Struthio camelus: one gene and its partners. The protein of the gene in region 3 interacts with the protein of the main gene of each other region in a biochemical or structural test. Links are inferred from orthologs where the notes say so. Each region holds a gene or a part of one and is shown on either strand. Other genes may lie near its edges.

Region 1 (10,089 bases), on a different chromosome or scaffold from region 3:
TAGGCCACAGACCAAGGAACACAAAATCAGAGCAAAACCTCACTTATGCACAGCAGCGCGTCAGGCTGAAGCCAAGGGACCGTAACAACCGTTCCCTGGAACGTGTAATCGTTCCCTTTGTATTTGGTTAAGTTAGTTCCAGTCCTGGCAAGGCAAGGAAAAGGCAAGGAAGCTAAGGAGCTCCCAAGCGGACAGAAACTTCACTAGAGAAACTCAGCATGTTGGTCTGGTCGTTCTCCTGTCGTGGTACTGGCAGTGCTCTTTTGGCTGCCCCCTCCGGGCACAGCCTCTGAAGAGCACCCCCATTACGGATCACACAATCAGAGCACGAATTTTGTCCTCTTTTTCCCTTCCACGCTGGGGTTGCATCTGCCATTACTACAGAGAGGGCTGCAACAGCGGACCCTGCAGAGCTAATAATACACAGCAGGACCAAGAGAACAACAGTGTTATTTCGGGCAGTAGCAAAAAGTGCCATTGGAGATTAAACATCCGTGACTGTGAATAAGCATCTGCAGGGCTAGGCCTTGAAACTGCAGCTTCTGTGCCAGGACCTTCTTTGATGTGCACTGTGATCTTTTAGGGCATGGCACACGTGCTTGATATTAACAACATGTGTTTTCATGAGTTCGAATTTTTTTTAAGGAGAGAAAAAATAAAAAAGAACCAGTGAGCCAAACCTCATAGTAGTCACCCTGTGACCCATATGCTACAGACTCCCTCATACCCAAGGACCCTGCCTCACTGACCCTACCTCAAGGAAATTAGCCAAAAGATGACCAAGATCATCCATCAAGTGTAACAAACTGCAGACCTAACCGTGTTTCTTCTCTTCCAAGGAAATCCTGTCTATAGAGGCCCATGCCTACTTCCTTTGCTGCAGGTCCTTCCAGAGACACAGTTACAAGTCTCAGAAGCTGCAACGGCCCATCCAGCCACAGTGCAGTGATTGCTGTAGGGAAGAGTACCTGTAAACATGGCACAAAAATAAGGGCTGCAGGCCGCAAGGACCACACGGTGGGCTTCCATCTCCACAGTTTCAGCCACAATCACCACATCACAGAGGAGCCGCTTGCTGGAAAAACACCAGAAAAGACAAACATCATTTCAGAACTCCTGGTCATGCAAAAAGCTATGTCAGTACACCCTGAAAAAGTAATCCAAAATCCTACCACTTCAGACAAGGTACCTGAGCCATAATTAGATACTGAAGCTTCTGCCAAACCTCAGTGGAAGCTCCTTTTAGCCTTCAACTACCAGCTCCTGTCAGTGTTGGCCTACAGAGCAAATCCTGCATCTTTCCAGGGCTGCAGCCCTGCTTGCTGTGGAGCTGTAGCTGGTCTGCTTCAAAAGAAAAAAATCTGGTAAAGCCGAACTAGACATACGTGCTGCCCAAAGAACAGATGGGTAAAGGGACTGCCTCCATCTCTCAAAAGAATAGGGTTTAGAGAAGGTACAAAAGAGCTTAAGCGTTTGGGTGCTACCTCGAGGCAAGTCCTGATAGGTCTCTAAAACAAGACAGAGCAAGGGAATATGACTTTGTACAGCGTTCAGAAAGGTGGAGCAGAAAAAGAAAGTTGTCTCTGCACTCTCTTCCTAGGTCAGGCTTGGTACAGAAACGCTTGGCCCTACAGCCCACGAGCTCCCAAACATCAGTTCTGTCCTGCCTAGCACAGAGGGCTTCCCATGGTTCTCCCAACAAGGAACAGTCAATCACTAGAGTTTATCAGTGGTCCTGATAAAACTTAAGTTAAATGCATGAATTAGGCTGGGATTAAGAGTCAATGAGATAAACCAAGGGGTTCCAGACAGAAACTAACACTTTGAGATCCCTCACTGACTCATTGTACAGCTTTGGCAAAGTCACTTCATTAATCCGTGACCTTTCCTACCAGTTCCGTGTATGTCTTTTGAGGATTCATTAGTTAATGTTTGCACAGGACTGCTGAGATGCAGACAGCTAGAAGTGCTCAGCCTCCCAGTAAGTTGGTTTAAGATCTCTGAGCATACAAATGCAAAAAAAGGGGTGTTCTTTTCAAATGTCAAGCCTGAAAACAGATCAGAGACAGTAAATCTAGATGTTGCCTTCTCTTCAGAACTGTTTATCACAATGCTGCATTTTTTTTTTCTTTAGAAAACTGCACATCAACTACACACAGAGCTTCTAAGGGACTAGGTACGTCTCCCTCCTCTCCTCCATGCACTGAAATAAACAAACACTGTTTGTGAAACAGAGGGTTACAGTTTGAACATAGGGAGAGAGTAAGCAGGAAAAGATGGTCTGTTCTCTACTCTTCCCCAGTTTAGAATGGATGATGGTAAGTAGAGAAATTTTTTAATGGTCACTCAGTGAGGGTCTTCTCCTTCCCTTCAGCTTATCTATATTCATCTAAGGTATCTCTCATGAAAATTAATCTGATTTTTATTTGGAAGCTAAAAATTTCAAGTGAAAAACCTACAGCAAATAGGTTAAAGGTTTAGCAAGATTTCTCTAGACCTTCTAAAGGCATTCAATTTGAGGCACTATTATTCAAGGCAGCTATTAACACTGATTGTTGACAGCTTAACTGACCGCAAGTTCAATGCACAATACATGTAGACATGGGAACTCCATATTCCAGAACAGCAGCAGGAGCTGAGAAAAAGGAGCGCACCCAAGGGGAAAGTTAAAAAAAAAAAAATCCAACAGTAAACAGGTGCTTAAGGGCAGCTTCAACCTTAAACATTTTAACATTTCAGTATTGCACAAGATCTAGCTAAATACAGACACATTGTCAGTCTCCAGCTATTCCCACTACGCTTCAATTAACAAAGGAATAATAGTAGCACAATAGATTTCTGAATATAGCTGCACAAACCTCTATTTTCAGATCTTTTGCTCTCAGTACAAAGAGAGGACTAGAGGGATGCCAAGAAGAAAACATATTCAGCTTCACGTATTTGTTACAAAGGAAGGCTATTTCCATTTTCCTCCTCCTTATGCATCAGCTGAGAATCACTGTCAAACATCTACGGAGACGTTTCTAATCCTTCTCTGTGCTGGAGAACGTGTATGTTAGGAAAGTACTTAATCCACAGAAGAGAGGCGGCTATTACAGCATCTCTCGAGTACTTAGAGCATGCAGGAAGAGTGAAGTGTTATCTGCTTTCACCATAACATCTGCATAGCAAGGCAGCGCGTATGCTTATGTGCAGTGTTAGGAATATAGGAAATTTTTTTTTAATTGGGTTTTCAAGTCTCTGTTTGAATGGTTAAGGGCTCAAATGAACTAGCTGGAAAAAGGCTCACTAAAATTCTCTCTGACTCAGGGGACGATAACAGCCAAGAAACAACTCAGATTTAACCACGGCCACCACAGAGCTGATGCAAGGGCAAGGGTGTCTTAAAGAATGCCTTCACTGAGATTTTTTTTCAACCTTCCTCCTCCCTTTACCCACACAGTTGTGCAAAGACACCACAGTGTTCTCCTTTAACCAATATTAGGATTTAAAATTAGCAAATAGGGGTATGACCTCCTCCTAGGTTGCTTTTTTTCCTCCCCCTCCTACTTAAGAGGGCAAAGCCCAGAGTGAGTGACACCACTAGTCAACGAGAACAGGAACGGTACATTAATAATCCTTCGTCTGTAATTACGTGGTGTCTTAATGTCTGTAATATTGTTACTGGTTTTCAGACCATTAGCTCAGTTAAGAACACAGTTTACAGCAGAACTTGCTGTAAGTAATGGAAAGCACTAGATGAATTATCATTTATAAACAGAGCATATTGCTCAGATAGTGCTTCTGAGACACAGCTGTGTGGTTTCTGACGGAAAGTTAGGCAGGTGCGAGGCTGCAACCCAGCAAGGAACGGCCACGTTTCAACTGTCCCTTCCTACTTGTTTATTAACAACCTCCACGCAACCGCTAGCCGTGACAGAGATGGCACAGATTTCTTGCAAGTCCCCCAGAAGCCCTTCGGTTCTCATCAGACCGGAGGGGATGCCCAGTCGGTCGAAAGCGTACCTCCGTAACTCGTTCATGACCTTGAATGCCTTTCTCATGTGAGAGGGGTTGACCGTCACCGTGCGCTGCTCCTTTTCGTCTTCGGCTGCCTCAGAGGATCGGGAACTCTGCTTAACGCTAAAAATAGGGATTAGAAAAAGAAAAAAAAAGAAAAAAAAAAGGAATAGAAAGTTTGATTTAATGGCACTAAAAAAAATGAACCGTAAAACTGCCACGGAGGGCAGTGCACGCACGGAGTTATTTGTATGTCTGTCAGGCAGCCCAGGTGGGCCATACGCAGAGCATCAGAGAAGGCAGCTACCTCCGCAGGGACGCCGAAAGCCAACCAGCCCACGTTTCCATCAGGAACAGAAAAAAGCACCAAACACGCGAGGACAAAGCCCAGCCCTACAGGCTCCGGTCCAGGAAAGCAGAATAAGCGGAAATCCAAGCCAAAACATAATTGCCTCACTGAAGAGGAACAGACTTCAGCACTGGGAATTACGAGAGCACCAGGAATACCTTAACATCCACACAGAGAAACACAAGTTTAGTTTTCAAATTCCCACCTGAAAAACGCAGGCAGACATATATGACCTGTATCTCCTTCCACAGAGGAAAATCCAAAAAGGGCTTTCACAGCTCCCAGAGCATCAGCGTTACGGAAGCCCCTTCTCATTTCCACTCCAGAAATAGGTCTACTTAATGTCACTGAAACCTGTAGAAAGAATTATTAAACCAGAATTTCCTATCAGAACTGCACAGTATATAGGCAAAGTAAAATCAGATGCGCCCCATTACGTGCTGTGTTTAACCAGGCCAACAGGTGCCTAAGGCACAGACGCGTCCTCATTGCTTTGTGCTGAGCCCTGGCTCTTTATCCACAATCGACATAAGGTCGATATATCTACCTCTGTGATCTGAAAGCGTGTGAAATCACTCGGAGCTAAAGGTTTCCATCTGTGGAAAAAAAAAAAAGAAAAAAAAAATGCAGCACTTTACAGCGAGATTACTCATTGCTGAAATCCAGAGCCCATTCCTCCGACCTTCCAGCAGCCAAAAGCAAACAAGACAGGTCGAGCAAGGTGGTCCACGTCTAAGCGCAGCCCCAAGCGAAGGGCAGATCACCCTCCCCGCGCTGCCCGGCCCCGGACCACGCCGAGCTCCTCGCCTCCGCCACCTCGCGCTCGTCCTCCCTGGATGGGCTCGTCCTTCTTCCAGAAGCAACCCGCTGCACAGCGGCCAAGTTGCACGCGGCGGCAGGCACTGAGTTAGCACGGGTGAAAAAACAGGCAACGAAACAACCGGTTTTTCTGTGCCCAGGGCAAGCTGAACCCTCCCTGCTCCTGCCCGCGCCGCTAGCAGCCTTCACGCGCACGGAGCGGCCAACTGCTCGCTGGGGACGCTGCCAAATTCGGTTAAGCCTCAGTGATGTATCTATCAAAAGCCTGCGTTGAAATCTTCGGCCAAGTGAAATTCGACCGCAGCGTTCAAAACTGCAGCGTAAAGCCTTGCTTTTTAAACTGCCAAAGCTTCCCTCGCGGCGGGCCAGAGCCCAGCAGCGAGAAACGAGGCTCTGAAAGCGCGAGTAACTTCACTGAACTTTCGGTCTCCAAAGCTGAAACACCTACAGGAAGCCAAGAGAAAAGAAAAAAAAAGAAAAAAAAAAGTGAAAGAGGGAGGCAGCAGACACCTGCACGCAGGGCTCCGGGGTGGGAGCAGCTGGGCCTCCGCAACACGCTGCTTTCCCTCTCGTTCAAAGATTGACCTTACCCCATCCAAAAATCAACCGATGCAAACAAAAATCATGAGGTTTCTTTAATAAGAAAGACTACTACACCCTACTGAGATTTATTTAGTAGCATTTCGGCGCCAGAGAGCAAAGATTCGTATTGTCAAACTTTCCAGCCGGCAAGAGATGCAGGACAAAGGACGCGGCAAGTTTCACTGAACCCCAAAAGCAAATGTCAGATCGACCAGCCTCCATAAAGCTGCAACGCCACCAATATTGGTCTGTACGCTTTAAAAGCAAAAACCTTGCTCTGGAATTTTTAAAAAACGATTGACCAATTCCTCCTAAAGAGCGTGAAGAGCAACCTTTTAAAAACTGTCCTAAAAGACATTCTCACACTTGCTAGCACAGGTGGATTTCAGACTTTACCAAATACCTAAAGACTCACCATAAAAAAGTTCTGCAGATAGTCTGGTATACAATTTGATTCAAAAAAATCAGGATATGCTATTTAAAGTTTTTTCAAATGACTCACATAAAAAACATGTTAAAAAATTTAACAGCTAAGTGCCTTTAACTCATGCTTCAAAATGACTCAGCTTCCATAGATTTTTGTACCATTAATACAGTGGGGATGCCTTTCTCTGGAACAGTGATTTCACACTACCATACACATGCTCTCTGATACCACTGACACATTTCCACCATAAAAAGGCAAGGGCCTAAACTATCCAAGTAAATGCAATCTGCCACAAAGCAAAAACTACCCCGAGAGGAAGAAAATAATGCATTACATAACACTTTTCTGAGTATTCTCCTACAACACTAAAAATTGTTCTACTTAGGAATTACTCCACTATTTTATTAGCAGAACAAAGAAAAAGAACAAAGCTCTCTAATCAAAGGTACTGGCTGGGAACACCAGGACACGCAAGGGTCCCTCTCCTCCGTAATCAGATGTACTTTCCCTGGAGCACCTTTACATTCGAGCAGCGGCGTCCTCCTGCACCAGCAGGACTTGCCACCCGGGTGCCAAGAGCAATCTGTTCTATTCCTGGGCCATCCGAGGCCACGCGCTGACAACGATTTAGTTCCCCCGGGCTGGATTAATAACCTTGTTAGGGGCACAGCAGGATCCTCCCAAGATAAGCAAAGAGGCAGAGCGCCAGCCCCACCACCACCACCACCACCTCCTGCGAGGTCCTCATTTCAGCACTCCCCCCACATAAAACAAATGGACCTGATCTCAAAGTCCCAAATGGCATCAGGGAAGCTAATCAGAAGCCCCTTTACACCACTGTCCTCCTCTCCAAGACAAGACAGACACACTAGTAGGCCTTGGCCCAAGCTACCTGCAGGCACGTAGCAGGGCCTGTCTGAGCTCAGGCTGCATACCAACCAGCAAGAAGGTATTTTAAAAACCCATAACCCGTAGCTCTGCTGCATGCATGCATTAACTATAAAGTTGGGTTGCCTTAGTTACCAGCAGTAATTACAGATGTCTTTGTAGATTATGAGGAAGAATAAAAGCCTTCCTCTGAGCTAAACCGTCCCCTCAGAAAATTATTACTGTGCAGAGAGCTGGTAAACCCCAGGAACGAAAACGGTGACTCTGCCAACAATCAATTCCACCACTGGCTTCACTGGAGCCAGAAGTTCACCCTAAAGAAACAGCAGCTTTCAAATGAGCCTTCCTTCAGCGGTGGACAGGACGGGCTTCTGCTCACACTTCTGAGGGAACGTCCTCAGGGCTCAGCTCCTGACCTTCACATGGACACCACCAGCGTCTCTCCCACAGCTCGACCACGCTCTCGCGGCGGAGCTGCGTTGCACCACCCCAGGGCTGACCCAGGCACTGCCAGGCAATCCCGATCGCTCCAGGAGGAGGCAAGCCAGGACAGGGCCACCAAGGCTGGGACTGCTAGGACACCTCAGGACTCTGCTGCAGCTGCACGCAGAGGTCTGCGGTCCAGATTGCCTCGTACACATCGTGGAGCCCCTGGTGCTGGCGGAGGGTTGGCCTCCCGCGCACCACGGGACTCGTGGACCTGTGCACCTCCATGGGGTCGGACAGCCCCACCACCAGTGTCTGGAGCTACGGGAAGGGAGCAGCCACTGCAACGCCCGGCCAGGAGCCTTCAGGCAGGAACGCAGCCCCTGACACTGGAAGTGGGGTGGGTTGTTCATCCTCTCCAAGCACCAAGAGGCTTTTGCCGTCTGAGGCGGAGAGCCTCGCGCGCATCCTTCTCAGCGGAGGTCAGCAAAAAGTGCTCGGCTTAGAGAAATCAGTAAATGCACGTGCTGCTTTCCAAATGGCTCCAGCTTCCTGGGGTCCAAACGGTTTGGAAACCTGGCAGCCTCTTATGGCACACAGCACCCAGAGAAAGACAAACAGCGTGCAGTAGTTATCTTTTTGGTCTTTGGTACTGATGTTTCAGAAAGGACAGAGCCAAGGTTACTTGGGCGTCCTGAACTGGCCTTTCATAGCTTTCTGTTAACTGAAAAGTGGAGTGACATGTTAACTATGAACGTCCTAAGCCTACAGCACTTCTTTTGGGATGCACTGCCAAACATCGCTGTAGTCTTACTCTTAACTTTCTCACAGGTTTGACACAGTTCTGCTCTAAAAACCTAAAAGATACCCAATAGCTGTTCCTAGTCTTCAAAGCTTAAATGCTTCTGCTAAGACAAGTGAAGACCAAAATATTAATTTAGTCTTGACAGAATGCGGGGGAAAAAAAAAAGTAAGCTTTACCTTAACTGGAGCAACTTTTTCATGCAGAATCAGTAACTAAAACCATAAAGACTTTATGCCCGACGGTTCCATCCCTTGAGTCAGACAAAACAAAATAAGAAAAGGATGTCAGTGTGATGGCATATTTATAAAATCCCAACTTCTAGAATTTTCTTTGGGTCAATAGAAAGATATTAAAAACTGTGATTGAAGGAATCTAAACAGACAGATGGATTTGAGAGGATTTCAGAGAAATATTATCATTAAAATGTATTACAGGGAACATAATAGAAAGGTTTTTTGTTTTCATAATAATATTTATTTGCAATTTAGTTACAGGGTTTTTTTCAGTGCCTGAATCTACACTGAGACATCAGTTTAGTGGAATATGTAATTGGCAGATGACAGACCCCAAAAGGAACACTGATCTCAGAGGAGATCTCAGGAGAAACGCAGGCGCCGGGAATTACTGAGAAGAAGAGAGTTCTCTGACAATGCTGGAACCAACACAAAACGACGCAAATACGACAAGAACGTCATTTACCTTCTAAGGCAGGTATTGTATTTCTCAGACAAATAGTATGAAGAGATTAGCACCATTTAAAGGCACATTTAAAATTACAAGTTTTTTTTAGTTCTTTAACCAAAAATTCACATTCCTTTTTTTTTTTTTTTTTTTCCCTTTCCAAACTCAAACGCACCTTGCAAATTGAGAATCGGAGTGCACGCACCCAACCATACAGTGTTATGTTAACTCTCCAGGAAATAAACGTCCCTATCAGCAGGGGTAACGGAGTTGATCCTGACATAATTTCTTGCCACATGTGACTGTTTCAGGTTAACCTCCAGCCCGTCCCCTTCTGCAACTGCTTCTGTGCCTGCCCGTTACAACACAGGCACGTGACCCCACGGAGCAGATGTGACGGGTGAATTATCTGGATATTTAAGTTTTGGCAGGCTTGGAGGCCAAGACAGAGGTGATCCAAGCAGCAATCCCGAAATTAAAACGTGTTCCTTGTGATCTACAAAAGGGAGAAGCAATGCCATTAAAATCCAGGGGGAAATCTGCTGGCCTTAAGCGCACGTTTTGAGGCCACATATTCCAGCCGAAACGCTAGACAAAAGTACATAAAGGAGCACCAAGAGCAGCCACCCAGCCGGGCGAAGCTCTTGACGGGACACAGTCCTTTTTAAACCCAGGCTCAGGACTTTCCCGAGCCAGGCAGCTTTTGTGCAGTCCTACATAACACGCACTTTGAAAGAGGGAAGCAGGTGAATAGCGTGAACTTTTCTTCCTAAGAGCCAAATCCCACATCGCTACTCCCTGTGACCAGTTCGCCGCCTCCTGTCTCTTCTCTAAAACTAGAAACATAAGAAAGTTTGGGCAATCCCTTGCAGTTTCACTGCGTTCCTCACTTCTAGAGAGGGGCAGAGAACCTGCGATCCTTCACGCCCTAAAACCAGTCTCATACACACAGACGCGTATATATGCATACATCTATATGCATACGCATGCGTGTGCATATCTCTCCAAAAAAAAAAAAAACAACCCACGTTCCACAGACACGCGTCTAACATGACAACGTGAGATCCAGAGGCTCCCACGCTGAGTATCCGCAGCTGGCCCCCCGCGCACTTT
Region 2 (10,756 bases), on a different chromosome or scaffold from region 3:
TACAAGCTTTAACATAATCTAAAGCAACAAAAAAAGTTTTTCTACCAACTTTAAGTGAAAAAAGTTTGAGAACAGCACATGAAGTGAGTCTTTAAATGAATTAACCAGCTTAAAAACTGGGGACATGCAGTAGGAATCTTTTTTTTTTTCCCCACTAGCTGCAGTAAAGGGGGAGAGGGGGAAGAGGAAATGCTAAAACAAAACATATGGCATGAAGACCAAAGTCTACACATTCAATTTAGTTTTCAAGTTTTTATATTTTATCGAGTGCAACATTTTTCTTGAATGGGTTTAAAATAGTCAGGCACGTGAAACTGGCTGCAACTAGCACATAAGACTCTTGCGAGGAAAAAGAAAAACCCAACACACTTCAGAAGAGAAACCTAAAAAGTTATCATTGGACCAGTGTCTCCTATTCCACCCTAATCTTAACTTAAAAGGACTTTGACTATACCTGACGAGTATTTATAGGCTACTCTTTCTAGCTGGCTGCACGTTTTCAGTACGTGAGAGATGTATTCAAGCACAGGGCGGGTGACCATAGATATCTGGACAAGATTTGGGGAAGTGCAAAAATTAATTTCCAAGAAGTTCCTACATATCGGTGAAGAAGAATTTCTCCTATACAGGCATACACGCTCGCACGTTCAGCTTGGAAAAAACACAACTAGAAACCTAAATAACAAACTCCAAAAGATCATGCTGTCCATGGGCAAAGCCCCACTCAAAAGCTAATCAGCCATTAAAAAAAACCCTAACCATTCAGTAAATGTGCACTTCAATTTTCAATTTAAGCTTGATTTCTGAGGGGAGAAGAAACTCCCAACACATCTGTTCTCCCCAGCCTGTGTTCCCTTCACTGCTCTGAAGGAATCTGTCAGAGGGAAAAGGGCATAGGAGTAGAGCAAGGGAGAACTCCCACTGCTAATTTATCTTCTGTTTCTGGCACACACTGTTAATAGCAAAGAGGATGTTCCCAAATCAAATGGCCACAGCCAGTACAGCCCTTATCTTTCAAAAAAGAGGAAAAAAAAAAAAAGTAGCAAAAGGAGAAATGATCCAGTTCCAATGGACTTCACTACTGCTGTCAGCATGTCCAGCGGGAACTGCGAGATCCAAAGGAACCTGGCTCTGCGAGCACGAGAGCAGCACAAGCAGCATGAGGTATAATGGGTTTTTTGCAGGCTTCAAAAAGACGACTGCAATGATTTATATGCAACTCACACTTGGAAGACCACCTTCACAAGCATGAGGATAGACTACATTTTTCTTTTTAAAAGAAAATTTAGATGTCTCCACAGATGGTATTCACCTGCAAAGGCTAACACTACTCTGGGGGTGCATGCCACAGAAATGCATTGTAACTTGCTTCCTCCTCCCTCAGCCCACACTTCCTTTTTTTTTTTTTTTGTTTCCCCCCCCTCAAATGAAAGTCAGGTTCTGATCCTAAGCAAGACCTCTTAATTCACTGTAATGTAAGTTATTTAAGCCTAAGGAGGCTACTCAGCACTTAGCCACTCACACTAACCAAGCATAATAAACATAAGCATTAATCTATACCTTTATAATGGCATGAATCATGTCCAGGGCTGAGTAATCTCTTTTTAGTATTAGCTAGAACCAGGAAGGCAGTTTTACAGGAGAAATTATTTATTTATTTTTTTTTTTTTAGCAGCTAGAATGCTTGCTCTTTCAGTTCTTGCACTGAAATAGTACAGAGCCATCCAAGTCATATGAAAGCCACACATGAATATCTTCTGGCAAAAATAGCACAAATAAGGAATTAGATCATGTAGTCAGACATTGATTTCCTTTATTCTGATGTGAAAAATAACTGAGTTGGTAACCTCCTGGACTCAAAATTTAAAGAACATTTTCATCAGAAAACAAGTTAAATCCTTTAAAAGCACTACTGCAAGGTTCACCCCTTTCCACACCAGATCCCTTCTTCGTTCACTACTGAAGAACTTTTACAGTTCTGCAGAAGTCAAAGGAGCTCAGAAAAACCTTGAGGTTTACAAGAGACACGAAGCAGGAGCAGTCCAGCTCAGTTAACACAGTCCAGCTCAGTTAACACAGTGACATTTTGTCCCACAAATGATAAATGCGCTAGAAAATTTGCGTCACATATACATCCAGGGCGCTGGCAGGCACACCAGTGTTGAAAATGAGTAAGATGGGGGGGATGGGAAATTGAAAAAAAAAAAAAAAAGGAACCATATGTTTGTAATATACACATTTCAGCATACTCTCCATTACATTCCAGAATGCCAACACAATCTTTCAATGAGCAGATGACAACCAGAAACTCAAAGTTTACAGAGGAGTAGGGGAAAGACATGAAAGAACTGAAATATCCTATCCCTGATTTTTCTCCAGTGAGACCACAACGTATCTACGTCCTCCTTCTAATACTGTTGGACTATAGGACGTGCGTCTCTAGCAGCAAGTCCTCCTAAGAGCAGGAGCGCATTTGCATTCCCTTTTGTTCCCATCCCACTCCGTTCCCCAGCTACAAAGAGGCAGCTTGTCCTTTCGCTGGATACTCAAAACCTGGCTTTGTGTTATGCGAGAGCACCCCTTCGGAGACTCCCACGGGAGAAGCGCTTCCTGCGAGCACGGGTGCAACTCCCGCAGCTCCCTTTCCTGCGGGGACTGGGAGCCCAGTGGCCTGTTCTTCCCCCCTCTTTGCCCCTGCACCTTTATCTGCTGCTCCTGGAGGAGGCTCGACACCAGCCTCACCAGGGTGCGTCTTCCAGAGGAGGTTTAACGGGATGATCTCCGAGGAGGTTTAACGGGCTGATCTCCGAGATTACGTCTTCCCGGTCTTTACTGATGGTTTGCCTCCTTTCTAAAGCGCTGCTGCTCCCACTAGGCGAAGGGAGAGGATAAAGCCTGATCCAGTGGAGCAACAGGGATTTCCAGAACTGCCACAAGGATTTTTCCCCCCCCCAACAGCTTTAGTTCCTTCCGACTTTCAAACAATGCCAAGAATTTAATCTCTTAAAACAGCATTTTCCCCAAACTCTCCCACCCTTGTTAACAGAAACTAAGTCTCCCTGTTGGGCAGAGATGCAAGGCCTGGGCACGATAGAGCTATGTCATTTATAAATTTCAAGTAAAAGCACTTTACAAAGATTAAACCGAAAATTAACCTCCTTCCTAAAAGCCTCCTGGCCAGGAGCCTGCCCTGCCACCTCCCACTTTGTTTCCTGCCTCCAGAGAGTGACACAAGAGGCACTGACCTTAGCATTGCCTGTGGCACCACCTCAGACGTGTCACACGCGCAACCTAGAGCAATATATCCCTCAAACACACACCCCAGCCGAACGGTTGAGACGGCCAATAAATCAGGACAGCAGGAGGCCTTTGGTAACTGTGTCAGTTTAAAGTCAAAATGTTTTTAAAAAAAAAAAAAAAAAGAAAGAAAAATCATTTACTAGAGAGCAAGGGCCAGGCCTCAAGCCGAGAGGACAATGAATGAAGATTCAGACAATAGTAAAAACCCAGGGAAGAGGAGAAAAAAAAGTGCCACTGCTTTGGTGGCACTACAAAGTCCTCCGTCCCCTGAAGACGCCAAAGCAACAGAGCACCCAAAGCGCCAGGTGCTGCAGCGGAGGCGCCCGGCTGCTCTGGAGGGAGGGAGCCCGTATAAATTTTGGGGTTTGCACCGCAGGCGACCTCACCCCCCACCCCAGCACAGTGGATTCAGCCGGGTCAGTAAGCGACGGGTCAGTAAAGGAGCCCCCAGAGCACAGACCCCGTCCCATCCTCTGCCACCCAGCACGAGGGTGCACTGATCCTCCCCCCCCCAAACCCCAAGCAGCCCTTGCCCTGGAGGGTGTCCCCCCCCCCCCCAAGGGACAGGGGAGCCCCCCCCGCCGTGAGGTATCGGGGGGGGGGACACCAAACCCCCCCACACCCCTCGAGGGGCAGCAGACACCCCCCCACGCACCCAGAGGGTCACAAAAACACAGCAACGGGGCCCCCCCTCCAAATCCAAACATAGCCCCCCCCCCCTTGGGGGGGAGGGAGCAGATCCCCACCACCCCTTCCCTGGGTTTCGGGGGGGGGGGAATAGACCCTACATACAGCCATCATTGAGGGCGGGGGGCATCTGCTCCTCTGCCCCCCCCCATTTGGGGAGCAGACCCCCCCCTCCACACCCTCCACGGGGGGGAACACCACCCCCTCCCTACACAGACCCCCCCCCCAAACAAAGTCCTCCTGGCGGGGGGGGGGACACCCCCCCCCCAAACGGTTACACACACACCCCTCAGATGGGGGGGGGGGGCAGGACCCCCCCCCCCCCGCACTCACCGATCACCTCCTGCAGCTCGTAGTCATCCTTGTTGATGGACCAGGGCAGGGCGCTGGGGTCCTCGGCCATGGCAGCGGCGCGGCGGCCCGCGCGCGCCGCCAGCAACGCAGCGCAGCGGAGCGGAGCGGAGCACACAGCCGAGCCGAGGCGCAACCGCCGCCCCCGCCCCGAGCACTGCCGGCAGCGGCGCCCGCAGCCCCGGCCGCCGCCGCCGCCCGCCCGCCTCCCGCTAGCGCCGGCCAAACTTTGCCTGCTCCCTCCACCTGCCCATGCCCAGAGTCCCGCTGACGTCACCCACCCGCGCGCGCTCCAGCGCCAGCAGGGCGCCGCCCGGCGCCATCTTGAGCGCGGCGCCCCGCCGGCCGGCCGCCCGCTGTCTTTTTGTTTATTCGGCCGAGAAAGGGGGCCGCCGCCGCCGCTGTCCTCGGCCCTCCGCCGCCGTCGCGGGACGGCGGAGGTGGGGGGGAGAGTAGGGCCGCCAGGGAGGAGAGAGTGGGAAGGGCGGGGATGCCACACACAAGATGGCGGCCGCCCGCATCTTCCCCTCCCTCAGGCGAGAGGCGGGAAGGACTGCTCGCTTATAGACCCGCCCCCGACGCTGATTGGCTGCTGGCTATGAAAGCCGAGCTCCTATTGGTGAAAAGGCTGTCGATCCCCCGCAGTCCTTCTCCGGGGTCCCGTCGCCCTCCTCCCGAGAGGCTCCCGTGGGGGGCTGGGGAGAGGGAGGGGGGAAGGGGCGCTGGGCCTGGGGCTGGCGACGGTTTCTGAGGCCAAGTGCCACGAAGGAGGCAGGGCGGCGAGCAGGGGTAGAGCTCGGCCCCGGGTGCCTCAGGCCTCCACTTGCCACACTTTAAAAATAGCATCCAGGGGTTAGGATGGGTGTGAAGGGATCAGCAGGCCCGTTTTGCCCCATCCACCTCCAAAAACGAGCAGTTCTGAAACGTGCCGGCCACCAAACGCCAAGGTGTTTAGACTGCACTTGGGCTGCGCGCAGGTCCGTTGCTGGAGCTGGCGAGGTGGGGGTAGAGACCCTAAAGAAAAGATTAAAAGAACGAGGAATGGGAGGGTCATTTTTACCACGAACTCACATAGGCTGCTGTTTACATTGGTTTCATAGGTGTCTGGAGGTTTTAAATAGTCCTAATAGCCATAACACAGCGTGTTCTTGCTGTCACCACACACAACAGAAACGATCAGGACAATCAAGCAAAATGTGGAATTTCTGTGTCAAGTTGTGTTTTTCAGGCGCTGTTCTTCCTGTAGCTTGATAGCAGACGCTTCTGTGTGGCAAAGAACATCGGCTTTACGTATTTTTAGCTTATTAGGGCAAATTCCTGAGACACGTCTGATGAACCCAGCTTTATAGAGGGCCACGGGACCCTGCCAAACGCGGGGCGTGACTCCAGTATTTTCACTTGCGCTACCTAACGCAGGACAATAACTCCTTCCTTCTCCTCTTCGTTGTCCTACCAAAGGAAATGACCCAGAGCCGCATCTTGCTCGCTGTTGTCCAAACACCGAACAAAGACGGTCTCTGTCCGTCAGACAAAGCTTCCGAGTTAAAAGCTGTTCGGTTTTCCTGCTTGCCTCTGTTACACGTTCCTCTGCCAAGCGATCTCTAATACTTGCTAAATATGCCTTAATTATTGCTCGGAACCATCTCTGTGATCTTTTAGCCGTATAAAAGTAGTTTTTTGTAGCAATTCAAAGCAGGTTTTGCCCCACTCAGGTGAATATTTCCGATAGCTGACCGCGTGTTAAAAATGGATCTGAGCCAGGCGTCAACAACTGAAGAAGACACAGGCCCTGATCCTGAAAATCTCAAAGCACCTACTTAAAACCTTTATAGCCACAGTGATGCGTAGGCTTCATTTTACCACTCTATTTTTAAAGTCTAGGCCGTGTTTTAAATTCTCTTGTTTTGGGGAGAAAATACTCCCCCTGAAGACAACGCTAAAACTCCTTTTGCTTTAGATCGATGGGACAGGATTATGTCCACTATAAGCCTTATCTTTTGAGGAATAGAGTAGACTTTGATAAATAGGAAAATTTTAAATGTGCATTGACTAGACCACCAGTGGCCACATAAGCACACACAAATGAATGATGTATTTTAACTTTTCACCTCTGCGATGAACTCTCCATTTCCATATTTTAAAACCAAAGAGCTCTCTTTCGCATAGAATCTGGATCCCACAGATATTGCGTTTATGTTTTAAATGAACTCACGATGTTGAATCCCTCAAAAGTCAGACGTTGCTGTTGCATTCATCCAGCAAATTGTTTCGATGGGAGTCTGGAGAAGGATGAAAAAAGGGAGCTGGCCTCTGTGAAGTTCTTAACACTTAGCCCACTTCAGATCTTCAAGCAGCACCTTCTCCTGTTTCATCGTTAATATTCTGCTCATCCTACTTTTCCTGATTCGCTTTATTTTGTCTGTCTCATGTAGGTTGTAAGCTTTTCAGGGTAGAGGAAATGTCTCTATTTATAAAACAGCCTGTAAAGTGGTGCTGCCGCGGCAAGTGGTTTGTTGTAATAACAAGACATTTTAGTAGAAGTCTGAAGTGGAAAAGCAGTTGCCTGCGTATCCACCTCCGCTCTCTACCAGGCATTAGGGAAGAGTGAGAAGTGGAAGAACTCTAGACTTCTTTCTGGTAGGAAAGCTACAGTCTGAGAAAAGGTCTCAGATCTGGGTTTGCTATACTTCTTGACTTAAAATTTAATATCTCAATGATTGGAGCAGGCGATCCCCTCCTCCCATTGCTTCTGCTGCTGCATAAAGGCTTTACCCTGACCGCTGTGTTTCATCAATGTCCCTGGGGCTGGTGTTTCCTCCCAGCTGGCTCTGAGCCTTTGGAGATGGCTAGCTCACAGGTCTGTGCACACCTGTGTGCACACAAAAGGCTTTCATCCTCATAAGGCATATGCTCTAGAGGACCCTGCTTGAGCAGGGAGGTTGGACTAGATGATCTCCAGAGGTCCCTTCCAACCTAAACGATTCTGTGATTCTGTGATTCTGTTTCCTGCCTTTGAGAGGACAATTACATGCTATTTCAATGAAACTTAATGGCACAGACCAGCTTTGCTTTTCTTTTTTTTTTTTGGCTCATATAATAGTGGCTATCATAAAACCGATATTTAATGGGTGGGATGGTGACTCTAATATTCTGTGCAAAGTGAATAGCTTTAGTACCTGTAAAGGGTCCTCAATGGTAAGATATCCTCATCATCAGTGTGATCATAAGTAAACTTTATTTACACCGGGACTGTAGAAAACTAGCCTTAATAACTCCAGTTTGCCTATTGAGGCATTTCAGATTTCAACTTACTCTCAAATATAGTTTTCTTTTTGGTACAGTTAGCCTGGAAGTTGCTCTTTCGGAACAGTCATGCAGAAGCATGTAGTGTCACAGTTCAGTTGTGTTTTAGGCTATGGAATTTGCTGCCGCGTTTCTAGTCAAAGGCTTTTTAAAGCATCATAAACTGCTGCTCGTAAGGGACTGCGCATTAGCTACCATGATTCTCACAAACAGTAGCAGTTAATGTGCTTATTGAACTGCTTGGTACGGTCGTGGTTTACCAAAGCAAGAGGGAGCCTAACAATGCCTGTCTTATTACATTCATAATAGTGCAAGCGTGCTCTGGCAAGGAGAACGCTCGACCTTGTTTCACTACAAAATTTGCCTGCTATTCGTTCTTGATGGAAATACTTGCAGGTTTATTGAAGGGAACTTAGTCCATCAAACGGTATCTGATTATTTAACAAAGGGCAAGGCTCTTTGGTCTGTAGCCAACAAATACAAGCATGCAATTTATCTCCGGGGATTTCTCATGCCATTTTTGCTTTGGTTTTTGAGAAATGAGGCAAGGACCGTGCAGTGAAGTAAGGAGCAGTGATTTAAAATCCTCTGATCGGAGCAAGTTTTTAATAATCAGTTTGGTGGAACGTTTTCAAACCACAAGCCAAATGCCAGTGTCAACCACGTCGGCAGGTTTCTATAAATGATCCTGTGTACTACCACGTATCTCCACCCTGTCATTCACGGGTAGCGTGCTAAGTCATTTTAAATTCTCCTTTGAGGTCACTTTGAAGTCAAGTAGCTGAAGGCCCGGTTCTAACAGGTGAATTCTGGTTCTCACAGTCTGTTTACTGAAACCAGCTTTCACTCTGCAAACACATTTCTTATCCCATCATCACTGCCTCTCAGCTAGCAGAAACGCTACACTATTCTCCTACTTTCTCCGCTGAAAATTATGCCCCAGATTTTAAGCATTAGGAAACAAGTAAAGCGCTTATGACCAAGACAAGGTCGTACTTCTTTCTCTTTTATTCTAAGTTTATGCTTTTTAGTGTATAAATTGAAAGCCAATTAACGCTGTCAGTAACAGATCACAGCTTTGCTGCCTCCTTGAAATCTAGTATAAAATTGATGTTAGGTTTACGAAATAGTTAATTAGAACAAGATCTTGATTACCATGTACTGGAACTACATTTAATAATCAGTTCTTGCTCTGCTCTGGAATACAATAATACTTTCTTCATACTGCTTTGTCCTCAAAGAAGCTAATAAAGGACATTTCACATGTCCACACCTCTGTCAGCTGTGAGAATCTAGTTATCTCTTTGGAACAGCTTCTCCGGACAGAAGGGTTTTCCCTCTGGCCTCTTCTGTGAATGGTAAATCTCTATCATAAAACATTTTCTGGACAGCCGAGCAAGTCAGGGGGGATTGATAATGTGTTTCAGAGTTTTTCTGCTCTGCTTTGAAAGTGCAAAAGAAATCTGATGCAAACATCCAGGCCCTAATGCACCAGTGTGTTCACCTGGGCTGTCACTGCTTTGTCGTTTATGAAGAGAGGCCAAAGACTGATGCTTGGTCTGTTATGTAACACTTTGCATGACTATATTTAAGAGTGCTTCAAACATGTTAATATTCAATAAAACTCTTAAAAAAAATAGTAGAGACAGAAGTCCGGACATTAGATGCTATAACGGTGCCAGAGAAGATCCCCTCCTTGCCGCTCGCTGCAGCAGACAAGTCCTGAGCGTCCCTGGGTACTTAAATCTCCTTTTCAGGGCCGGTCGTGGCAGGTCTTTTGGTCAGTCCTGAAAACAGCTCTGGGAGGAGACACCGGTGCTCCCTGTTGATATTGTGTGGGTAGTCCGCCAGCCTGGGAGCGCTCTGACCAGATCTGTCCGCTTTACAGCTGGTAAATGCTTTGGAGAAATAAAATAAAACATGTTCTGTAACAGGGCAATGAAGGAAGATGAATTCACTTAAAATGCAAGGAGAAAAAGAAATAGAAATAAGAAGATAGAATTAAACATAAGTTCATTTACTTTTTGCCATCTGGAAATAAGATGTGTGAGGGAATATTGTTCTTATCTACATTAATGGCCAATATCGCTTTGCACCCAGCTAAGCTGAGGCCAAGCAAGGTTAGCGGTTCCCATTAGCAGGTTCTAATGACATGGGTTTACAATAATTGTCTAATAGGTCTGTGTAACAGTGACTCATAGCTTATTACTATGGAGACAGAAATGTAAAGAGGCCTCATGAAAAAAAAAAAAAAACTATTTGGATAGTTCACATCCTTTCCTCCCTGCTCATGAATTCCTGTGTCATTGACTACTGACTACTAAAAATAGGATCCTTTCTGTGTGTCTGAAGTCAAGGAAAACCTAGAACCGGAAGGACAGTGGGAGGAGACCACTGTCTTTATATACAGAGTTTTCAAGAAATGTTTTTTTAGGAAAGCCCTCCAAGAGTGCACGAATGTTTTAAAAAGATGGGACCAAGCTAACTATGAGAAATTTTTCTGCAGGCAGAAGGAGAATTAATGGATGCCACCAAGCTCCTAGCTTCGGCATTTTGCACCGGAGGGATGGAAAGATTCAGCACTCTCTCAAATACAGGCTCAAGCTGTGTTTTCTTCTTAGAGAGGCTGTCCCAGGGCAGCAGCAGGAGAGGGAGCTGCAGGGACCAGCCCAGGAGAAGCCCCATGGGCTGACAAGGAGCCAGAGAGGAGCCACAAGAAGCATCAAGTCAGATCAAAATCCAAGGCCTTTTTGCATTTGCTGGCTGCTGCTGAGGTCTATTTGGCTCGCCACGAATTTGGGAGTTGATCCGGATGTCCCAGGAAGTGGGAAGGTGCCCAAACCTCTCCAGGGAATAGAGAGGCTGAGAGGGAGCCTCACCAAGAGTCCTTTCTTTAGCCCTCACTTGGAGTCATACAAATCTTTTAAGGAGAGAAGTGGCAAAAGGGAACTGGGAAGACAGGAGCAACATATCTGCGGGTTAGATGAATCACCAGCACCACAAAAAAACAGCGTGGCACCTCGGAAACAAACGGCTGAAGTGTGAAATCCTGTGGCAGGGGAAGCTGTCACAGAGAATCAGAAACTGATTTAATAGAGAAAAATTGACTGCAGCA
Region 3 (11,135 bases):
AACAGCTTCTCTTCATTAAAGCAGTGCCCCTGCTTCTGTGCTTGCTTTAGATGTGTTATGACACTGCTGTGAAGTACAGAATTCCCTAAAGCCTAAGAGAGAAAAAGATAAATGAGACTTCCTAAGCAATCACTACAGGCACAGAGAAAGGAAGACTAGAATGCTGATTTCAGCAAATATCCATGCTTCTATAACACTCGCTATCAGACTACCTCACAAGCACATTATATAAAGAAACATAGCAAGAATAGACATGAAGACGACATACAGAACGAACTGAGCAACCATCAACCTTTCTCCTCTCCCCCAACAGGGGGTGACATTGAATTTGGCCACAGTGCCTGCCATTATGGCTTAACATAGTTTGAAATAGTGCATGAACAATCACTGAGTCTTATCTCTGATAAAATTCAGTGTTTGGGTTTTTTTTTAAATAATGTTCCCGTTGTTTGACTTTATCTGAAGGGATTATGCTTAGAGAGCACATATAGATAAAAAGATATGCTAATAACAGTTGACTGGATACAAACAGCAGAGAGCCAGCAGTGTAGCCTACAATGAGCTCTAGACTTAAATGGTTACTAATATGACTGAAAATTGTACTTTGGTCATTAAAAAACACAGATAGCAGACCACTGATATGTCCTTGCACTAGTTCTCTGAATGGTTTACCTTCATATGGTTGGGATATATTTGTTAATGTGGCTCAATGAATGGTGAGAATGGTGGGAGAAGGGAAAGAAAGAGAGTTTTACCTTATATTCCAGTAGCTGGGGTGAGAGGGGAAGAAATGGCAATGTAAGCGTCAATCTGATGAAGAAGCACACGTTATATCCTGGTTTTATGGGACAGGGTTGTTGACATTTTTGCAACAAATAAAGAAGAAAAATCATATAAAATCATCATCTCTGAGTTCAGTCATTCTTATACAGTTTGGCTGGTGTAGTTATCTTCCTTATCTTCCTGTAAAACTTGCAGATTCTGAAAGCTAGAAGAGCTCAAAGAGAGATGTTTAGTTTTGAGTCCAGTAAAGTTTGTAGTTCTTGCTCTTTGACAGTTCCTATGGTCTCTGCTTGTAGATAGACTACCCACTTTCAAAAGTTTTGGAAGGACTCACCATGTAACACTTACTACACCTACCACCTACTGCAAAGGCTGAAGACTTAAATCTGCTTGTAGATCCTAGAGATGTCTCCAAAGTTCAGAATTACTGATTTCAACATGAACTGACTTCCAGAGATACTTGAAAGTACAAAACCTCATGAAAGATAAAAGAATAAAAGAAATGCAAGGTTTTGGAATAAATTTCCTACTGAATATGATTTTCAAAAAAAAAAAAAACAGTGCTAGCATTTCTAGAAAGTTAAAAACTCTCATTTTTCAAACTTACAGTCAAGAAACACTTTGTCTCACTAACTTCCACCATTAAGAAACACAAATGAATACTGTGGCAGAAGTCTAGATCTGAAAAATATCAGAGAAAAAGAAGACATTGTAGTAGGAAAATTGGGCTTGTCACTATCTTCATATGGCACCACAGGTGTAACCTTGTAATGTGCAATAAATATTAGATGAACAGTTTTATTTGAAAAGCATTTAGGTTATGGAATAAAATGACATGCATCAAAGTTATGGCATTGCCTTTTGTATTGCATAACGTATTGCATAAGAGAAAATAGCTGTTTCACATTAATACTTTGTCACATGGGCAGTCATGAATGCCAACAGTGAATGAAATTTCACTGCAGAAAGCAAAACAGAAAAAAAGTTTCTGATTCAGTCGACTTCAAAATCACACTCATTCAGAGTTATTTTTTAAACTATTACTGTTCCAAGCAAGATGACTCTCAATAAAAGAGGCTTAAGAGAAGGCGGATATTTTTACAGTGATGTCAAGTGACAGCCCTTTGGATTTAATCAAAAGATCATTTAAGTCTCTGCCTGTAATTTCTCAAGTATAGTCAAACTCCTTATTTCTGTGGATTTCCTTACGCAGCAACAGGAGAAAGAAATATTTTTAATTGGCTGAGGAACTCTGCCACTGAAACTATTTTAATTACTTGTTTCTAAGCACAGCATACATATAGAATTTACTTTAATGCTTTATTAAATCTTGCAGCAATACTGAAAATTTCCATTTAGCCTAAGCACAGTTTTACAGATTCAAAGAAATCAAACTGAAGGGAAAGTGAACCCACACTCTTTATTATGTTCTTTTTTTAGAATGACAAAATTAAAACAGCACCCACATAAAACGTAATTACCAGTATGATTCCACTTTATTTTTCAGAGCCAAAGAAGACAACATCCATCATTCCCACCTCCAGGTCAGATGCTAAGTTTTTTTCTGCAGAGATGATTGCTATTTCTGTCTCTGCCCAGAAGAGGTGCTGGTGAGAAGAGCCGGGTGTTAGGGACCTCATGCTTAAAACGTTGCGCTCAGGTGTCTAACTTTATCGAATTTCAAGGGCACCAAGGAATGTGCTGGATCCGACACTGAGGTGGGGCTTTTTTACATAGTTACCACAATTTTTAGCAGGAATCTGCCTCGGGCCCCCTGCGGCTACGCACTGCAGAGCTTCCGCTCTGTTTTACAAAGATTTTGCTTCATTAACTAGGGGAAAATATATTTAAGAACAATAAGTGAAATTCACTTGAGTAAGAGAGGGCCTGCCCACGAGGTCTCATTTAAACCACGCGTTTAGACCACAGGGAGGCGGTTCCCAAACTGCAGCCCATGTCCCTTTTGCAGTAGATCATATGGCACATGGCTGGGCACAGACCTGGGAGCTGCCTGCCAGTGATTACTGATGCTGCAAGCAGAATTCACCTAAGTGTGTAGGCTTACACCACAAGGATTGATTTATCACTGTGTTATTTAGGTACATGCTCGTGTAGTTAAAAATGGCATCAAGCTGGAGTAAAGTTTGCTGTTTATCTCCATGTTTGCTATTTACACCATCCAGAAGTTTTGCATAAATGCAACAGGCAGTGGAGGAATGCAGACCTGTGCTTTAATGTAGCTCCAGAAGGCAACAACAGCAGTGAAGGTAGAGTGGCACAGACCAGGCCTAGGGGAGGTAACGGGACCTTGGTTGCCAGCCCTTGCTGCAGCTCAGCTACTGTGCCCTACTACTCTTACTAGTATAAAGCTAGCGGGAGTACATCTGCTGCTACTACAGATGAATCTCCATTCTGTTGTTCAGGGAGATGCACAAAAACTTGTAGCCAAGTGTTAAATGAATCTCAACCCCGCTTGCTATTTAAGATGTTGATGGTCTATTGCTGGTCTACTGGCAGGGCAGTGGGGATGTGACGGATTGAATTATGAGTTGCTCAGTTCTGATCCTGTCACTCTTTGCAGCTAATCAAATTACTCCATTTAGCTCAGCACTGTTTTAAAGAGTGTCTGCTCCTTTAAGCCAGTGCAGTTTAAGTGGCGGACATAGCCTATACCAACACAAATTAACTTTTGCAGTGAAGGCAAGCTCTAGAAGGCTTGAGCAGTGCAGCAGTTTTTGTGTAAGAGCTGTACAATGAAGTGCACGTCACCTCTTTTGTGAAGACGGTATCATCATTTTGTTTGTTGTTACAAAGAGGTAGATAGATGTACAGAAAACAATGATGTTTTAATTGCTGTGTGGTATTAAACTTAGTGTATAAGGAATATGAGAGTGTGAGAATTGCTTGGGTTGGTATTGTGTGGCTGAGGGTTGTGGACCTCTCTAAGAGCCGTTTCTGTTCTACTGTGCAGAATGAGTATTCATTATGTTCATTACCTCATATCAGTAATGCAGTGCACAACTTCCTCTAAACGGCTAGTTTAAAAGTAACTTTTAAAAAAGTATTTGAAATGCCAGTGCATCTGTTAGGAACAGATTATTCACACGGGGAAATTTCCAAGTTTTTTTCCTCACATAATTTTTGAATTGCAGTCACCTAAAAGGCACGGTACCAAACCATTTACCCCTCCTTCAGTATCTTCCCACTGACTTCAAAACACTGCACTTGTTAAGATGGAAAGTGCTTGGTTTTGATATATTAATACAAAAGAGGAACACGATATAAATAAACTAGATGACTATTGTGTACCAGTGGTTTGCTAACCTGAAAGTTCCTGATTTGTGTCAGTGTTCACGTGGGCTCTTACTGCCCTTCTGACGGTTGAACATCCTTTATTCAACTACAGGAACCCAAGTCATGACTCAAATTATGACAGGATAATGATCATTTGGGGGGCAAAGTCTGCAGATGGTGTTTCTTTTAAATAATTGAGAGCGCACATTCACACGAGTTACTTGCATTTTAGATTGCTTGGCCAAATAATACATGTTCTGATGACCTAAACTGAGACCAAAAAAACCCTATTCACTCTAACCTGCTTCTACAAAACACATGCACACAGTTATCTCTGCCCACAATTTTAAAGAAGCCAAACGAGGAGGCTGATTGAAAACACAAAGCCAATTATTTCCTAACACACTTAGTACACTTTTAACATAGGTTACATGGTACACCTTGCTGTTAGCCTTTCCTGTTCCTGCTCTTTGCTTTGCATTTCTCACATTTATTCACGCTCGGCCCATCAGCTATACTTGCAAGGTTTTCAAGCACAGTTTGCTGGTTGAAATGCGAAAGGAGAATGCTTGTTCATGTTGCAGAGGCCTGCCTGCTTCTCAGGACTACGACTATTTTGTGGCATCCGAAGACCCCGGTCTGCGTCCCTGCAGACTGAAGAGCGCCAGGGCTAACCCCTGAACAGAAAACCCTGTGGACTGGAGGAGCTACAGGCAACGGGAATATATTTATTGCCGTTTTAGCCTCCTTTAGCCGTGCCGCGCCCAGGCCCCCGGCTCAGCCCGCGGCACGGGCGGAGGGCAGGGGTCTGCGCACCCTCTGGCCGGCCCCATTTTGAAAGAGCGAGAGCCAGGGGCAGCTCCCACAAGGCTTCGCCTCGCTCCACCGCAGCGCATCATCCCTCCCCCCCAGCCCCGCAGCCGTAGGCACTACTGGGTGCGGTGAGGGGCTCCCTCCCCTCGCCCCGGGCCGCTGCCCCCCTCGCCCTCGCCTGGCCCGCTGCGGCCCTGCCCTGCTCGAGGGCACGGCGAGGCGCCAGCCCACCGGCGGGAACTACAGCTCCCATGAGGCGCCGCGCCCCGCGCGGGGCACGACGGGAGCTGCCAGCTCTCCGAGGCGGCGAAAGGAAAAAGAAGGAGCGGGGGGGGGCGGGGAGGGGGTGAAGCGGGCGCCACCTTTCGTAGCGCGGGCGGCCGCGCATGCGCGGAGCGGGCGCGGAAGGGGGCGTGCCCGGCGGGGCGCGCTCGGCCCCTCGCCCTCCTTCCCTCCCTCCCTCTGTGTCGGTTTCGGGCTCCCGTCGCCATTTAGCGCGGAGACGTGCCCGGGCCGGCCGCGGCGGCGGCTCCCGCTCCTCTCTACCCCCCTCCCCCCCTCCTCCTTCTCCTCCTCCCCGCCGCCGCCTCCCGCCGCGGCGCGGGGCGCCTCCCGGATTCGGCTCACCTGTGGCGGCGGCGGCGGGCGGCCCCCGGTGAGGAGCGGCGCCGAGCCCCGGGCAGCGGGCGGGGGGCAGGAGGAGGGTTTCCGGCTCCGTGCGAGGCGGCGGCGGCGGCTGCTAGAGGCAGCGCAGCGCGGCCCGGCCCGGCCTCGCGCGGGCGGTGGCTGCCTACCGGGAGGCGGAGGCCGCGGCCGCCATGGGCGCCCCTGCGAGGCGGGGCTGAGCCCCCGGGCCCCTTCCCCTGCCCCCCCCCCCAACCCCGGCGGGGGCTGAGGGCGCTGGGCCTGCCCAGGCCTCCCCCCGCCCGGTGCGAGTGACTGAGCGCGGCGGCTTCCTCCGGGGCCTGCGCCCCCGGCCAACCCCCGGGGCCTCGCTCCGTGGCCGTCCCGGTTTCTCTCCCCTTCCTCTCGCCTTGAAGCGGCCGGGCGAGGCGCCGGCTTCTTCCCCCCCAACCCCGGCCGGGGCCCTCCGCCCCCGCCCGGGCTTTTCCCCCCTCTCGGCCGCCCTCCCCGCCGCTCCCGGTGCTCCATGTCGGCCCCGCTGCCCGGCTCGCCGCTGCAGGATGGATGCAGACGCTAAGCGGGGACCCACCCCGCCGGCCCAGCCTCGCCAGCAGCCGCCTCCCCGCTCCGCCGTGAGGAGCCCTTGGGACCCTGCTCTGTTGCAGCCGCGACAGCAGCCGCGGCCGGGCGCGCTCCCCGCTCAGTGACCGGCCTCTTCCCTCGCCTGCCCCCGGCCCCGCCTCGCCCTAGCAGCGCTTCGCCGCGGCGCGATGTCGGGGGGCGCCGCGGAGAGCGGCACCTCGGCCCCTCGCTTCCTGGCGCCGCCGCCGCCGCCGCCCAAAAACGGTTCCAGCTCGGACAGCTCCGTCGGCGACAAGCTGGGAGCCGCCGCCGCTGACCACGGCGGTGCCGGGGCGGGCGGAGCCGGCGGCGGAGCGGGGAGCGGAGGCCGTAGCGAGGAGTACCGGCGCCGCCGCCACACCATGGACAAGGACAGCCGAGGAGCGGCGGCCACCGAGCACCGCTTCTTCCGCCGGAGCGTCATCTGCGACTCCAATGCCACCGCCTTGGAGCTGCCCAGTTTGCAGCCCGCCGCGCCCTCGGCCCCCGTCGCGGGAGGTAGCGCCGCTCCGCTCGTCTCGCCGCCCGAGGGTGCCAGCCGGACCTGCGGCACCGCTGTCAGCGCCGCCCAGGCCCCCTCGCTGCTCCTGCTGCTGCAGCAGCCGCCGCCGGCCGCCCCGCTCCCCGTCGAAGGCCAGGCTGCTCAGGAGCCCCCTGCCGCCAAGGACGCCGCCCCGCTGCTGCCCAAAGATGAGGAGGAGGAGGCCGCCGCGCTGCCCCCCACCAGTACTGCTGGCAGCGCGTCAGCTGCCAGCCGGGAATTTGAGGAGCGGAGGACGCAGCAGGAAGACATCGAAGAGCTCGAGACCAAGGCGGTGGGCATCTCCCCGGACGGTCGCTTCCTGAAGTTTGACATCGAGATCGGAAGAGGCTCTTTCAAAACTGTCTATAAAGGACTGGATACAGAGACCACTGTGGAAGTCGCCTGGTGCGAGCTACAGGTAAAAAAAAAATATATATAATAATAACAAATTACCAAGGCACAATCACTCTCCCAGGTGCTAGGCTGCATGCTTGAAGCAGGTAAAATCCATTGATCTGAAGTCAGCTTTATTCAGGCAGGGTGCTGCAGACCTCCTGAGCCGCTCCTTTGGAAGGAAGGTGCAGCCTTTCCTTGGAGTCCATTTGCTTGTTAATTCTTTTAAAGACTCTGCTCTCTGAAGACATTTTTTAGCGTTTTCTCCTCAGGATTTGCACCAAGACTCTTTCTTACAGCATCTTATGTTTTACATCTCCAAAATGTAACTTGGAGGGTTGTACAAGTATTTTTACAAGACTTCAGGGAGGCTAAGTGAAAACGTGCCAGTTGCAATGTAAATGAATGTCAACTTGAGGTAAACTTCATTTTTCAAAAAGTGTTTAAGCAGATTTTTTTTTTTTTAGAAAGATATTTAAATGTGAATTTCACAGACGTTTAATGTATTTGTGGCAGTAGATTGTTGTAGGAGGTATCCTTAGAACATACACAAATTCACTTAGTGTGCCACATTGTTTAGTTTTATAAACTTATTTTTTCATTTGAAGTTCTAGAGTTCTCACTGGATATAGGCATTAGGAGGAGAGTAATTGTCTCCTTTCTGAAGCTGTAAAAAGCTGAAGTTCAACTTTTCGAAATGGTTAGTGGATTAAACTGGAATAAGACGCTACTCTTCCAGTAAGTTTCTAGCCTCAGCAGGGCTAGAGTTTGGTCAAGTCCTAGGCTGCTGGTGGCAGGAACGCCGATAGCGTAACTGAGAGGCAGGTTGCTGTGCAACAAACTTAAAAGAAGTGGGAAGAGCGCAGAGTACCAGTAACAAATGCCTAGCATGCAAGTTGGCTTTCAAAGCCTCAGTGTTAAAAGGATAGTGCTTGCTTTTCAGAGTTGGGTTTCACTGTGATTCTAGGGAGGGGTTCAATAGTACAGGTTTATTATGGGGTGTGTTCACATCCAATTTAGGGTAGACGAGCATTGGATGAAAATCCTAGAAATTTCTGAGGGTGAGCTAAGCAGTTAGTTGCTCACACGTGAATGTTTGCAGTAATATATGAAAACTTTCTTCCCCCACAAAAAGTAATTTTTTTAAACTATTCCTATCACACTGAGATAAATTATTAAGAGATCTCTCAGTTTGTATTCATACTTCATTTTTGATCGTTGCTCAAGCTTCTGGCTAGTATCTTGGTTAGTTATATTATTGCCATTATTCCACGTTTACTGACTGTGAAGGTAAACTTCCAGTTTACTTTATGGCTTAAGCATGCCCCCTTCCTCCATGCTAGCTATATAATGGCTGTGGTCTTCTTCCAGGCATTACTTTTGAATAAAAAAGTGAAACAATCCAGTGTTGGGCTCTGCTTAAGCATGTGCAGTCTGTACTGAGAGGGGGTGAATAATCCACTAAAGTGATATGATTCTTACATTTGAAATTTTAGTCTCTTCAATTACAGAGTTCCTTGACTTTTAACTCCTGAAATCTGTTTTAATCTTTATGCTGTATTTGCTGATCAGAAACTAATGTCAGCTTGGAATCGGTCATTTCCCGCTAACGTTACCTCTGTTGAAATGTCCTAACCATCTTCAGTACCACGTGAACAAATTGTTTAAAGAAGCATTTTAAAGTAACTTAATAAATAAGCATATTCCTAAAGAGCATATTGCTGAGCTTTCAATTGATTAAAAAATTCCATAAGTAGTATTTAATAATGAGATTGCAAAAATCATGAATGAAAATATTTGTAAGGGGGAAACGGTTGATATTTTGCTTGGAGGTTAGCAGTATTGCAGGAGTGCATTGTGGTTTAAATTACTTTGAAGACTGCAGTGTTCCTGCCATAAGGAGACTGCATAAAAATCTCAATTTTGAGACATGAATATAAACTTTATAGCTGTTGAAGTATTTGCTAAAGGAGCTAGACTCCATTTAGTAGGATATTTTAAGATTAAATCCTGTTTTACTGTTTGCCTCGAGTAACAAAAGGAGGAACTTGATAGTAGTTGGTGTGATAGGTACATCTTTGTCTTTCTCTAGGAAACTATAACTGTGGACAGGTTGGTGAAATTCCGTGTACTTGATTTGTATCAAAATACAATCTAGATTCACTAAGACAGACAAACTTAGGTGTCATACTGTTTTTCCAGAATGCCGTGGCTTGAGGATTGGTGAGCCTTCAAAGCACACTTTATTTTCCTGTGAAAATGTGAATGACTTCTGTGCCATATTACACCTACCATAACTAATTCATGCTTACTTTTAATTGTCTTAAAATGCTTGCTTTCTTCAGTAATAGAACAGCTTTTCTAATATGTAGTTCATGCTAGCAAGTATGAGTGTCCTAGGTGTCCCATCTTTCTGGAGTCTTTTATAGTGCAGCTGTAGTACTGCCAGAATAAGGCTGCTCAGCATGGTTTTGCAGCTTAAATTGCTCCTCTCCTATCTTGTTCAAAGCTGATAAAGGTGTATCACAGTTCTTGATTGCAAGACATATAACCAAATGGAAATGAAAAATTCGTACTTTAACAGAATCCTTGGCGGTATGTTCTTCTAAGGCTTTTCTAGCATACCTTACGCGCTTCAGTTTCTTTAAGGTCTGTGCTATTTGGAAGGAAATAAGAGGCTAGCTTCTTTTAGTTCAGTGAAACTGCAGCGTTTGAATATCAGAAGACACTCGGTAGTAGGAATACTGTGGATCAAGGCATTCCTGTCCAGCACAGGAGCATCTGTAATGGACTCTGGCCGAATGACTTTTTAACGATGGATAATATAACTATACCTAATTCTTATGTACATGCTTCTTGGAGACAAAGGTTAAATCAAGAAGTTTGGGTGCCTAAGTCCTGCTTATCAAATGCAATTTGGCTTTCCAAGTTGCTGAAGATACTCTGGAGAATATTGCTCCATATCCTTAAGAAGGCTCTTGAACTGCGCTTTAATGGCCCTTATGCTTGGTGTACTGCATTGTGGAGCAAACGGAAGGAGAGTGAGTTGAAATTCGATGTGTGATTCGATGGCATTCTTAATACCTCTCTAAGGGAGGTCCTGGACAATGCTCTAATTTTTCTTTGTTATTTGAGGAAGATGAGAGGACTCGATTGGCAGGAATTGAGTATTTCAAGGTTGCTGATAGATATGCAACCCGAATCCTGAGGAAGGCAAGGCTGATGGACTGTCCTGGTTTAATTTGCGATCTTTCTATACTAGCAAATTGCAGGTGAGCTGGTTTAAATACTAGATGCAAGTATTTAAATTTGAAATAGCTGCTCTGCCATAAGCACAGTGGAGCTGTGAAGAGCTGAGCAGCAACTACTTAGGGCCCGTGCTTAGCTTAGTTACTGCAAGGAAATGGCTAGTGCAGTCTTCGCTTTCAAATATTTTTATTCTCATTCTATATATTCACCTCAGCTCTAGTTATTCTGAGTCAAGTGTGCCTCCTACTGTTGTCATTAGCTCGTCTCATAAATTTAGTGAAGAAGTAGTTAGAGTTACCGCTTTAATGAGACTTAAGTAGGTAGAAGTTGGCAAAAGCACTTAATGCCCCTATTTTTGCTTTTAGTTGAAAATATCTCTCTCCATACAATCACATTACGGTATGGTCTTTTTAAAATACGTTCCAGAGCTGTAAGTCTTGTCACCTGTCTGTATTAGTCAGGTAACGTTATGACCAAAATGTGATACCTGTTCCTTTTGCGTTAAATTTAACTATGCTAAGTAATACTTTTGTGTCAAAGGAAGTATCACGTAGTTAACTATAAAAAGCCAAGTTGAAGGGGTTGTGTGCCATCCTCCAAGTCCCTGTTTCAGATTGAGTTAGTTTTAAATGAAGACTATTGCTTCAGCCCTGCTTTATAGAGTAATACAGGCTGGTGCAGGCACTTGCTGGACTACGTAACTATGTGTGCAGAATTATTGCTCTGGGTTCTGTGATTCAGATCAGTAGTTCTTCAGATATGAAAGCAAGCTTGACATTACAGAAAGAAAACTGAAATCTTTGAACCCTATTTTTCGGGGATTTGAAGATGTCTC

What was found.
Region 1: of the proteins of WNK1 (region 3) and KLHL3, one has a biochemical effect on the other in vitro, tested with the Homo sapiens proteins (2 studies listed by BioGRID). The link is inferred for Struthio camelus from reciprocal best matches to the Homo sapiens genes WNK1 and KLHL3.
Region 2: of the proteins of WNK1 (region 3) and OXSR1, one has a biochemical effect on the other in vitro, tested with the Homo sapiens proteins (2 studies listed by BioGRID and IntAct, with this or other methods). The link is inferred for Struthio camelus from reciprocal best matches to the Homo sapiens genes WNK1 and OXSR1.

The regions. Positions count from the first base shown.
Region 1 is NC_090954.1:5,720,807-5,730,895, forward strand, and holds the start of KLHL3 (kelch-like protein 3), read right to left. Parts: upstream 4,697-10,089; 5' UTR 4,664-4,696; coding exon 4,554-4,663; intron 4,123-4,553; coding exon 4,006-4,122; intron 1,076-4,005; coding exon 969-1,075; intron 1-968. UniProt on the Homo sapiens protein: Substrate-specific adapter of a BCR (BTB-CUL3-RBX1) E3 ubiquitin ligase complex that acts as a regulator of ion transport in the distal nephron.
Region 2 is NC_090943.1:6,328,780-6,339,535, reverse strand, and holds the start of OXSR1 (serine/threonine-protein kinase OSR1), read right to left. Parts: upstream 4,533-10,756; 5' UTR 4,391-4,532; coding exon 4,321-4,390; intron 1-4,320. UniProt on the Homo sapiens protein: Effector serine/threonine-protein kinase component of the WNK-SPAK/OSR1 kinase cascade, which is involved in various processes, such as ion transport, response to hypertonic stress and blood pressure.
Region 3 is NC_090942.1:69,115,642-69,126,776, forward strand, and holds the start of WNK1 (serine/threonine-protein kinase WNK1), read left to right. Parts: upstream 1-6,157; 5' UTR 6,158-6,284; coding exon 6,285-7,076; intron 7,077-11,135. UniProt on the Homo sapiens protein: Serine/threonine-protein kinase component of the WNK1-SPAK/OSR1 kinase cascade, which acts as a key regulator of blood pressure and regulatory volume increase by promoting ion influx.